Linked DNA regions of Daphnia pulex. The protein of the gene in region 3 purifies or fractionates together with the protein of the main gene of each other region. This does not show direct contact. Links are inferred from orthologs where the notes say so. Each region holds a gene or a part of one and is shown on either strand. Other genes may lie near its edges. The genes, in order: serine/threonine-protein phosphatase 6 catalytic subunit-like, hsp90 co-chaperone Cdc37-like and aurora kinase-like.

The links.
Region 1: the proteins of aurora kinase-like (region 3) and serine/threonine-protein phosphatase 6 catalytic subunit-like purify together in Homo sapiens (affinity purification with mass spectrometry, with the first as the bait; 3 studies listed by BioGRID). This does not show direct contact. The link is inferred for Daphnia pulex from reciprocal best matches to the Homo sapiens genes AURKB and PPP6C.
Region 2: the proteins of aurora kinase-like (region 3) and hsp90 co-chaperone Cdc37-like purify together in Homo sapiens (affinity purification with mass spectrometry; 7 studies listed by BioGRID and IntAct, counting the BioPlex papers as one, with this or other methods). This does not show direct contact. The link is inferred for Daphnia pulex from reciprocal best matches to the Homo sapiens genes AURKB and CDC37.

What each region holds. Positions count from the first base shown.
Region 1 is NC_060019.1:6,996,981-7,000,674, forward strand, and holds serine/threonine-protein phosphatase 6 catalytic subunit-like, read right to left. Parts: upstream 2,208-3,694; 5' UTR 2,136-2,207; coding exon 2,064-2,135; intron 1,765-2,063; coding exon 1,669-1,764; intron 1,604-1,668; coding exon 1,396-1,603; intron 1,335-1,395; coding exon 1,255-1,334; intron 1,165-1,254; coding exon 706-1,164; 3' UTR 590-705; downstream 1-589. Other genes in the region: probable 28S ribosomal protein S16, mitochondrial, read left to right, coding at 2,278-2,379, 2,511-2,663, 2,728-2,868; alpha-amylase 1-like, read right to left, coding at 3,167-3,178, 3,250-3,405, 3,469-3,545, 3,609-3,647.
Region 2 is NC_060026.1:6,136,670-6,140,502, forward strand, and holds hsp90 co-chaperone Cdc37-like, read left to right. Parts: upstream 1-1,613; 5' UTR 1,614-1,739; coding exon 1,740-1,772; intron 1,773-1,943; coding exon 1,944-2,077; intron 2,078-2,145; coding exon 2,146-2,310; intron 2,311-2,395; coding exon 2,396-2,776; intron 2,777-2,849; coding exon 2,850-3,039; intron 3,040-3,103; coding exon 3,104-3,274; 3' UTR 3,275-3,333; downstream 3,334-3,833. Other genes in the region: U1 small nuclear ribonucleoprotein 70 kDa-like, read right to left, coding at 3,441-3,544, 3,607-3,677, 3,734-3,833. UniProt on the Homo sapiens protein: Co-chaperone that binds to numerous kinases and promotes their interaction with the Hsp90 complex, resulting in stabilization and promotion of their activity. Inhibits HSP90AA1 ATPase activity.
Region 3 is NC_060024.1:9,277,454-9,281,266, reverse strand, and holds aurora kinase-like, read right to left. Parts: upstream 2,403-3,813; 5' UTR 2,197-2,402; intron 2,136-2,196; 5' UTR 2,131-2,135; coding exon 2,060-2,130; intron 1,923-2,059; coding exon 1,737-1,922; intron 1,656-1,736; coding exon 1,521-1,655; intron 1,459-1,520; coding exon 1,300-1,458; intron 1,223-1,299; coding exon 1,049-1,222; intron 963-1,048; coding exon 810-962; intron 732-809; coding exon 692-731; 3' UTR 567-691; downstream 1-566. Other genes in the region: uncharacterized protein LOC124200621, read left to right, coding at 3,663-3,678. UniProt on the Homo sapiens protein: Serine/threonine-protein kinase component of the chromosomal passenger complex (CPC), a complex that acts as a key regulator of mitosis.

The DNA.
Region 1 (3,694 bases), on a different chromosome or scaffold from region 3:
GAACTGGAACAGGCCTAAACTTGACTGGATTGTCTTCAGAGAACAACAGCACTCGAAGAATTGTTTCGCTAGACTGACACACTCTCTTGGCGAGAAGCTGCTGGCGTCGACTCGTGAGGACTAAAGTAAAATAGCCTCCAGCCATGCCGAGGTGAAAAATGAGAGAGAAGAAAGGTGAAAAATGGGAGGGAGAGGGGGCGATCTCTTTCAAGGAGGATTTACTGCCCCAGGCGATCTCGATTCGTCCGATTGTTTAGCAGTTTTTTTTTTTTTTATGTGTAACAACAGTGCTCTCTTATCAAACAATGGTAAAAGTCGTCTCACAATCACAATCTTTTTGTAAGGAAAAAAACAAAAAATGAAGTAATAAATTCCCGGAGTGGGCGGATCACATTTTTTGAATTGACAAATATAGCTACTCCAACGCCATCTAGCAACCTTTTTACTGACTTGGTAAATTTTAAGTTGGGAAATCTTTTCAACTTTTCAATTTTGCCTGGCGAGAAAAAAATGGAATTTTGTACAAAACTGACACTGAAAAGTAAAGGAAACTTTTTTGTCGTCTCTCAATGTGCCAGACACAATAGGACAGCAGCAAAACAGCATTTATTGACTTTAAGGAGGATTGAACTGATTTTACATGTGTTTATTTATTATCAAAGAATGCAGAGCAGTTGGAGAAATTTCGGGCTATGTTTTTAAAACTCACAGGAAGTAGGGCGTCGTTGTGTATGGTGGGATAACACGCTCACTGTCGGGAACAGCGTTGAATAGTTTAGGCTTACGAGACTTGTCTTCGTTCAACGCCAAGATACCAGCCACGTTACCACAGCGGTAGCAGTAGTTTGGCGCTGACCAAACAGTCACCAGCTTGTCGTCGAACATGAATTTGTAGCCTTCGTGAACCAATTGGTGAGCACGACAGATCAGCTCTAATCCGTTGAGATGCATAAACTCATGGGTGACTCGAGAGCCGAAAAGCCAGCCGGCACCTCGAGGGCTAATTGTCCAAGTTTCCACATCCTCAGGATCAGACCACACTAGGTCACAAAACGCTCCTTTGTGCGGAATCTCCTGATTTCTTTCGATTGTGCGGATCTGATCAAGCGTCCGAATAGAAGGGGAAAGGCCGCCATGCACGCACAACACTTCACCATCAATTAACTATAATGAAGAAGCCAATAGAAAAAAAAATTAATAGAAAAATAAGCAAATTAATATTAATAAAAGATTGCACCAAAGTGGGCTATTTACCGCAGCAACAGTGAGTAAATCAAATAACTGGCAACAATATCTCCATGCATTTGCATTTCCATATTTGTTCTGACATTCATCTAGAGCCAAATGTTAGCAATCATTAAAGATGAAATGAGTCTCAAAAATAATTTGTGGTACCATAAAAGCCATAGACTTGAGTGATTTGTCTGGATTCATGGTTTCCTCTCAATAGTGTGATCCTGTCCGGGTATTTGGCTTTTAATGTAAGCAACCGTGTGAGGGTTTCCAAACTATAGTATCCCCGGTCAACAAAATCTCCAAGGAAAACATAGTTTGTGTCTGGTACTTGTCCACCAGTTCGGAAGAGCTCTTCCAGGTCATAAAACTGCAAAAATAATTACTTACAAAGGATTTATCCATATAAATTGAAATATTTAAAAAAAAAAATACCTGGCCATGAATATCTCCACAGACAGTAACTGGAGTTGAAACATAGTGTACATTTGATTCTTCCAGCAACAAGTCACAAACCAATTCACAAAGTTTCTGAAGATAAGAAGAAAAAAATGATTAAAGAATAATTTCTTGACATGAACCATACTGACAGCTTAAAGTCCTCGCTTAGGAACAACCAAATGTAAGTGAAATCACATTTTTAAGTGTTTCACAAGTTTTATTGCATATAAATCGTTTTGAAATACTGACGACAAAACCATGACAAAACTTCTTATGTAAGGTGTCGATTGGCAGGAGAAAAGACGCGTATTACAGAAGTTCTACCACGGTTTTCACGTCCTTAATTGAAGCACTATTAAAAACTGTCAGCATGTTATCTGTCAACTCACCTTCATTTCATTTTCAGGTAGGTATTTACATTCGCGGGCTATATCTATCCATCTGTCTACATCTGCCACCATTTTTCTTCGTGACAGAACCAATTAATTGGAGAGAACTTTTCTTATAATTTCGAGTCGACTTTCTTCTAGGCCAAACATTTGACGTCCACTAAGAACTGTCGAAACTCGTCAGTAGCTGTCGCTCCTATTTTTCAGTTTCATCATGGCGTCTGCTATTCCCACATTTACAAAAATCGGCAAAGTTATTCGCTTAAATAAACATGGATGCACTAATCGACCTTTTTACCACATCGTCGTTCAAAAGGTAAAACAAAAAGGTTACATCTCACATATGAAAATATCCATTACTTTGAAAAAGAAACTATAAATACTATGTAAGAAATGATTGGATGGCACGTCTAAACTGTCGCGTTTTGGTTTCTCTTGAATTTATAGACGAGGGACAATTTTGACGGTCCAGTAATTGAACAGGTTGGCAGTTATGATGCCATGCCCAACAGCCAAAATGAAAAACTAGTCGCTGTTAATTTTGAAAGAGTTCAATACTGGCTTGCTCAAGGAGCGGGGATGAGTAATCCTGTTGCACAGGTGAAATTTTTAAATGCTAGGTATATTGATCTTCAATTTAAATGCTAATTAAACTATTCTATAGCTCCTTGGTCTCTCTGGATTTTTGCCTAATCATCCTCAAACTCTGATTCAGTCTTGGAAGAACAGACGAGAACCACCTAGAGAAAGAAAATTACAGCCTATCAAAGGAATTGCACCTCCTCTTGACAATCCCAAAATTTAGTTTGCTGTATTTTTCATTATATAGTCAGAATAAATCATTTTGTTAAAGTAATTTGTTGACTGGTATGTAGGAAATCATAAATTTTTTTAAAGCCCTTGCCAACTGGCTTTTTTTCCCCTCTCTTTTGTAGTAGACAAAGTAATTCAAATAGGATATTTGAAAATCAATTTTTGAAACTTTTATTTCACACAGTTTGTAAATTGTAGGGATTAGACATTTTTTGCATTAATCAGTTGAACACTCGAATTTTTTAAATTTTATCCATGATGTAATATTTAAGGATCCTTTGGAGTAGCGTTTACAACTTCGACTAAAAAAAGAAAAAATGACAAAGGTTGAGACTTGTCTACTGCAATAATAATTTCATTCGCCATTTATTACCTCAACATGAATTGCTAGTACTCCATCATCTTCAGCATTGCCGATACTGATCAAAGCCTTGCCATCAGAGCCCACTGTAACTGATTTGCCTGTGCACTGTCCGTTGACCAAGTTGCCTGAGATGATGTCGCAGTACGTTCCAGCCGAAAGACATGTCTATTAATTCGTAGTATATGATTATTTGTTTGTTGGAAATGTTTTGAATTGTTACAAAAATACCTGAAGAGTTTGGGACATGTTGGAGCCTTCGTTGTTGATGGCGATGAAACCTTTGCCACCGCGGCAGAAAGCAATTTCTATGGAATTCAGAAATAGGTAATTCATCTTATTTTTTCATTTTTTAAATTAAATTTTCTTACGGTTGTTTCCGTTATCCCACCAGTCGTTCATTGTAGTTCCTAAATGTAATCAACAAATATTAAATTTAAAATTTGATTAGAATTGT
Region 2 (3,833 bases), on a different chromosome or scaffold from region 3:
AGATAAGACTTGGGGATTTTGCATACGACGCGTCATGGACGTTGCCGTGCGTCAGGGTTGACACCTTAGTGATTTTGTACCAAAACGCAACAGACGCTTCGGTCCCAACCCTACTCACCCGATGAAGGACTAAAAAACATCTAGACCTCTCAGAGAAAAGATTCCCTATTTCGAGAGAGTCGATTTTAAAGAACAGATAAAACGTTATTTTTCTGAACAATTCAAAAAATTAGCTCTGTCATTCCAGGAACATTTAGCCAACCTGAAAACCCAGAACCCGTTACTGGATACAATGAATGGAAAGATTTAATCATAGAACCATTTAAGGACCCATCTGAGAATCAATTTTTTAAGAACGAACTGTCTGAAATTGAACAAAAAGCTAACGAACGAGTAAGAGAATTTCGCCCACGTTTAGAAACATGATTTGTTAAAGCCTACAACGGAATGCTTTTTTCCATAGTACAAATGAAGATATGACTCTCAAAAGAAACGACATTCGAAGGAAAAAAAGAATGCATTTGAAGGAGGACTCAAAAGGGAGTTACTCCCAGGTGAAAACAGAGTACTGCGCGATGCTGACTACGCAACATGTGAAGTCACAGCAACAGATATAGAAAGAAGTTTAGCACGCAAAAAATCAACTTCTCACAAAAACCGTCATTCACAAATAAGCGCTATTAGTTTACACAAAAAATTACTTTTAGTATTATTCGAATTACTTTAATTGTCTTTTAATGATTTATTTTAAGTTTATGGTAACCGCCATAAACTCCGTGTTAAACACGGCTCGAAGCCTCGAACATTTTGTCGCGCTGTTAAATTAATTTTAAAATAATAAATGTTAACGAAAATGTAAAAAATTTGTAACACATTTTTATCAACAGTGTTGTGGCCGATATTTTTTTTTTACCGCGAGCCCGGCCCGATTAACAGAAACAAACATCATGTCAAGGTCGTGATCTTTTTTGCGATCGCCGCTAGATGGCAAGGGGAAATGATTACCAACGTTTTCAAGAATCAAGACAAAGCACAAAGCAATTTGCAAAAATACATTTAATCACTGAAACTTTATAAACTTTAATGTATAACAATAATTTTTTATATAAAAATAAAAACAATAATTTATTGGTGGTGCTATTTAAAAAAAGGGTTTTTTTATTAATTAAAGATAGCGACGATCGCAAATCTGATCGAGCGATTTCTGGCCTGCAATTCCGATCCCGGTCGCGTTTTTCAGTTTGGATCGCGATCGCTAAAAATTTACCGTGGTCGTGATCGCACGATCGAACGATTGCAATCGTCACGACATTTTTTATTAATAAAATAAGTATCAGTTTATAATGAATAAATTTTTTGAATTAAGACCCCTATTTCCCGTATATAAATGTTTAATGGTTCATTTCTTTAAGATCCCACGCTACGATTTTGTCCGGGTTTTATTATGTAAATAGTGTGTAATGTGTCAATAATGTTCATTTTTCCTAAAGGCTAAAACTAAAACCCCCCTTTTTTTAGCTAAAATGGCCTTAGTAGAGACGAAGTTGCTTTAGTCCATTCAGGAACAAGCTCCACCCATCGCCAGAGGGGTGTACCTCTTTGGAGTTATCACTTAGGCAAAGGTTCAGTTTTCTGCCACCACTCTGTCGAGTCTACAATCGTAGATTCGTAGTGTTAGCGTTTAGATAATCTGTCACTTTCCACTTTTCCATTAAGTTCTTAACTTTATCGCGAATAAAATGGTAGACTACAGCAAATGGAAAAATATCGAGGTAAATTGTTGCTTCAAAAATGTTGTGTTGTTATTTTACCATATTTTTGCGGGTTCTCTAACCTTCTATTTATTGTCAGTATAGTATTTAATCGTAATTAAGTATCGTAATTAAGTATTCGTTATTTATATGTTTCATTTAAACACTCACGTACTTCATAATACTTTACAGATATCTGACGATGAGGATGATACACATCCTAACGTTGACACGCCTTCTCTGTTCAAATGGCGACACGAAGCTAGATTAGAAAAAATGAAGGAAATGGAACAAGAAAAAGCTCTGTTTCTCAAAGCAAAAAATGAGTAATGCTAAATAACTAGCTTTAATGTTTTTGTTAAAGTTTACATTAAATCAAACTTTTCTAACAAAGGAACACTGCCAAACTAAAAGAAGTTAAAAGTAAGTATGAACAGGTGATGAAAGAAGGTATTGATGTGACAGATTTGAAAAAGCAATTGAGTGAATTAGAATCGAAAAAAATTGAACTCGAAGATCATGAAGAACAAATGAAAAAAAAGGAAAAGTTGATGCCATGGTATTTAAAAGATTCACTTCAATATATCCTAATGTGATGTCTAATTTCAAAGTTTAATTGTGGTTTTTTTGCATATTTTTTTTAGGAATGTAGATACAATTAGTCAACCTGGATTTTCAAAAACTGTGGTCAATGTTGACCAACCCAAAAAAGTGAAAGAGCTCACTGAAGAGGAGAAAGAAATCAAAACACGTGAATTTTTCAAGAAACATGAGAAAAATCTTAAGGCATATGGAATGCTACAAAAGTATGATGATAGTAAGCGTTTCCTTCAAGAAAATCCAGAGCTGGTTTGTGAAGAAACAGCAAACTATCTCGTGATTTGGTGTATTAATTTAGAAATGGAAGAGAAAACAAGTTTAATGGAACATGTTGCCCATCAGTGCATTTGCATGCAATTCATTCTTGAATTATCCAGGCACCTTAACAGAGATCCAAGATCATGTGTGTCTTCATTCTTTTCAAGGTTTATCTTTATATTAAGTTGTCCTTTATGTAGCTATAACTAAATGAATTGTTTACTATTTTATCTCTTTTAGAATTCAAATCGCAGATGTTGAGTATCGTAAAGGATTTGAAGACGAACTTGTAGCTTTCAAAGACCGTATACAACGGCGGGCGAAAGAGAAAATAGAAGCTGCAATTGCCGAAGCTGAGGAGGAAGAAAAGAAAAAACGACTTGGTCCTGGAGGGTTGGATCCCGTTGAAGTATTTGAAAGTTTACCGGAGGTATAATTGAGCAAGACACATAAATTTCCTTCCACATATATGAATCATGTGTTTTGTTGTGTAGGTTCTTAAGGATTGTTTTGAAAAACAAAACATTGAGCTTCTTCAACAAGCAATTTCAACACTACCTGAAGAAGAAGCACGGTTTCATATGAAAAGATGTGTTGACTCCGGATTGTGGGTACCCGACGGAAATGTTGCTGGAAATATTGCAGAAAATGTTGCAGAAAATTAAAATACTAGTTTGGATTATTATATTCATTAATAATGAATTAATACACTGGGGCTTTTGAATAACGTGTATTTGACGTTTTTACCTCCAGTTTCATACTCACCTCACTTTAAAATTGTAAAGTTAAAAAGCCTTAAGAACAGACAAGTTACTGCTATAAAAACATACGCTAGTATTCTTCAGTCTGGAATTGCGACTCTTCCACTTCGTATTTAATGTTGTCAGGATCATATTGATTATAGCCATCATATTGTTGGGCCGTATAGTCATAATCTGCAAATTTCAATTCCACAAATTAGTAATAGATATTTTTCATTAACAGCTAATTCCAATACCATCAGGCGGTTCTTCCTTCACTCGCACTTGTTCACCATCCTCCCGAACATAGTCCCTACGCTCTCGTTCCCTGTGAAAAATTATTCATTAAATTCTGAAGTTGAATTCGATAATTTGATTGCTTACTTATCCTTGTAACGATCGCGACGTTCCCGGCGATCCTTGTTCTTGTCTTTAACTCGATCTTTTTCTTTGCGACGCTCATCGCCAGAAGCGACTTGACCAG
Region 3 (3,813 bases):
GGAGATATTTGTTTTTTCTCAACTATTTGAAGTATTATTCGTTAAATCAATTGTTTGATTGTTTAATATTTATCTGGTGTTGTGCCTACCGCGTAGTTTTGATGTGCTATAATAAAATAGATTCTTACTCATAATTTCTTACAAATCTAATCATTACTGCCAGTTAGAAAGAGATCCACGACTGATGCTCTATTGAAAATCTAGTTTTTGATTCATTGTAATAATTTCCACGGAACTTTCTGTTAGGGATTTGCTTTTTGCTTGAACTCATTCAATGAATAAAACTTACTTTCGTCGTTAGCAGCTATTTTATACATGCTTAAAAAATAAATGTAATTTTAAAATAATTGAATAAATTTCAATTGTGATTTTTTTCCATAAAGGATAATCCAAATTCTTTTTAAAATTAAATCCTTTAACATTTATTAGGATGATGTAACGGGAAACAAAATAGAGAACGAATAGCATGTAAAGGACGACTGGCGAACTTAGTATAAATTTGCATAATATTTGATGTAATAACGTGAATGATAAACTTAGCCATTAATAACTTACGTGCGAGCAGCATTTATGAAAAGTATTTATTGTATTACATAATTGAGAGAAGAGATAAAAGCAATCGGGAATGGAATTTACAAATTGAAATTTTACTTTAAAAATTTATGGTTAGATTGCCATTAAATATCAAAGTTTATGATTTGTTGGGTTGCATTATCTGGAAAGTCGGTAACCTGATGAAATACACACGTAATGCGTCACAATTATATTTGAAGACGAGTTTTAAATAAAATTATTTAAAAAAATCATACCTGGATCGAACTTCGTCGGAAAGGTGCTGTAGAATCCAGCTATGTTCAAGTAATTTTCGTAGAGGGATACGATCTTCTGCTCGTGGTTTGAGTAATTTAGCAATCAAGTCTTTCGCTCCAGTAGAGAGATGTGCTGGAAATTTTAAGTCAACTCTACCATACGAAATCATGGCATGGAAAATGAAAACGCTTAGAATGCCTCTTAACCACATTGGAAAATTATTCGAAAAAATTAATACTTGCAAATACGGTGGTAAGTGAGATCTTGCTTTTTCTCTTCAAAAGGAGGTGATCCCACTAAGAATTCGTAGCAAAGAATACCAAGAGTCCACAAATCTACACGTTCGTCGTGAGAGCGCCCTTCTATCATTTCGGGGGCTAAATAATCCAATGTCCCACACATGGTTTCACGCCTATTGAACAAAAACAATATAACATAAATAACTTCGATTTGTTTGGTTCTACACTAAACAATCATATTTTACTTTACCTAGACGAAGGAGCATGGACGGACCAACCAAAATCTGCTATTTTAATTTCTCCACGAATTCCTAGTAAAAGATTTTCTGGCTTAATATCTCGGTGGATTACTTTCCATTTATGACAGTATATCAATGCATCAGCTAGCTGAGCCATGTAATTGGCCGTCCTAAAAATAGGGGTAATTAATTTCCCACAGAACTTATGTTTCTGTTATTTTTAAAAATTTACTGTGGTTCAGAAAAACGGCCATTGGGTTGGCGTTTCAGGTACTTGTACATTTCTCCCTTTCCGGCGTATTCCAAGATGAGGTAAATACGAGTTTCATCATAAAAATATCCGTGCATGCGTAAAACATTGGGATGTCTACAGCAGAGTTGCAGAAAAGTTTTGATGTGCATTAGTGATATAAATTTTCCATAAAACATTGATCTCATTAGTATGTACTGTAAATGTGACTGGATTTCAATTTCACGTCTCAACTGGTGTTCCATATGACATTTTTGTAGTTGAGATTTAAACAAAATCTTCAGGGCTACAATGTATTTGGTATTGATTTCTCTAGCCAAGTACACATTTCCAAACTTCCCTTTACCAAGAGGACGGCCAATTTCAAAGTTATCAAGACTCCATCTGGGTTGAAACAAATAAGCAGAGAAACACACATCATTTGGGAAGATTAATGCCACAATAAAATATTTAAGTCAAGAAGATAAATTAGAAACACTTTGTTGGAAAACTGTTCTGAAAAACAAAAAATTATAACATACTTCTTCGAGTTTTCCAACTTAACAGTAGGTTGGTTTGAAGAGTTCTCTTTAAGTGGCTGTTTGGTTTCCATGTTATCTGTCAAATTTTTCAAAATCAAAACATGAAACATTTACAAAAACACAAAGTTCAAACTTACTTATTCGCAATGTAATGCAATTAAATGTGTTGTAATTTAATGTCTAAACTCTATAACCCTAAACCGTGGTCTTTCCAGGAGCCAGCCTACAATGATTGTATCATACTGTTATTGGCAAAAGGATTGTAGCTGGAAGCCTGGAATATGAGAGGGGGTTGGGGGGAGTCTAAAAAGTCACGTCTGGTCCGCCAGAGTGGCCGCGTCTAAGCGTGACAGGTTGCCAAAGTCGGCGTGAAATGCAAAAAAAAACCACTTTCTTTGTTAAGAAAAAACTTATGCGAGAGACAAAACTCTATGCCTTAAAAGAAAAATGTGTTTTTTTAATAATTAGCCTATTCTTCCTTTTTGCAACGCACAACAACAAAAAAACAAAAAGAGATAGCCTTCCAAAATGGTTAAATTTTTTACCGTTTGGCTTTGGTCAGCTTTTCTTAGTATTGAATTTATCAAAAAATGGGTGCTGTCCGATCTATCGTAACTACATCTTGGTGTCAATTTATAATCATATCTAATATTTCACTATGCTTTCGTGCTTGGGCTCTCTATTGGGTCCCAATCCTCTGATGCTAATATTCAAAAATTCGCAAAAACAAAAAACACAAATTCATTTTCTCCGGTTTAACATATTGATCAAATGCGTGTATTGTTTTTTCATTCTTTATTCAGTACCAAAAAAAGCGGCAAAAATACAACGTTCTATTACACTCCTAAACTGATTTTATTTCACTTTATGTAGGAATCAATCTGCCTGCCAATAAACGCGCGCGTTACACAATAGAATTTTTTAATTTCACTCCACCTTAAGAAAATGTGTTGTAGACTTGTAGGTATGGCAATAAATGCCTGATTTACGATTAAATTGATTCGATGAGATTTGATTGATTTCAGTTTAATATCTGAAAGACTGCCTAGCACATATTCATCGAAGGTTTACTTCAGCAATGTTAGATGATTTACAGGATTTACAAGTGCAAATGGAAACCAATACTAGTTATCCGATGTCCATCTCTACATATTCAATAAGCCTATAAAATCATATCAGACAGAAGAAGATTGCATTCAATTCATTTGAACACTAATTATAATTGACTTTTTGCATACCACTGACAATTAAAAGCATTTGGATGGTATGTGGATGGATTTTTATAGTTATGTAATTACCAAATGGCGTGGTATTAATTTCATAAGATAGAGAGAAGACGGAAAACTGGATAAAACAGTAAAATAATTGGAAACGAAACGTACTTAATTCAAGTTATATCGAGACATCAAGTGATATCAAGGACACAGTGCCCGAGGTATTGGAGAAGGTAGGGATCACACCTTCAGGGCTCCATTGTTCCTAGGAGCGTAATAAGCCAAGGTTGTCTCAGGTCAGGTATATAAACCGTGGCGTTCATTCCAATCATCAGCAGACTGCTCCATCTTCTCACTCAGTAAGCAGCAAGTCTCACGAAGGCAGCATTATGGGGTTTATTAAAGGTAAACTTTTAAAACTCAAATTTAGATTTTGTTTTGCGAGAATTGTTATTGATTAAATGCAGAATTATTTTACACGTTAAAATCTGGTTGTTCCGTTGATGCATTCTTTTGTGGTCATTTGGTCTTCTTTAACCC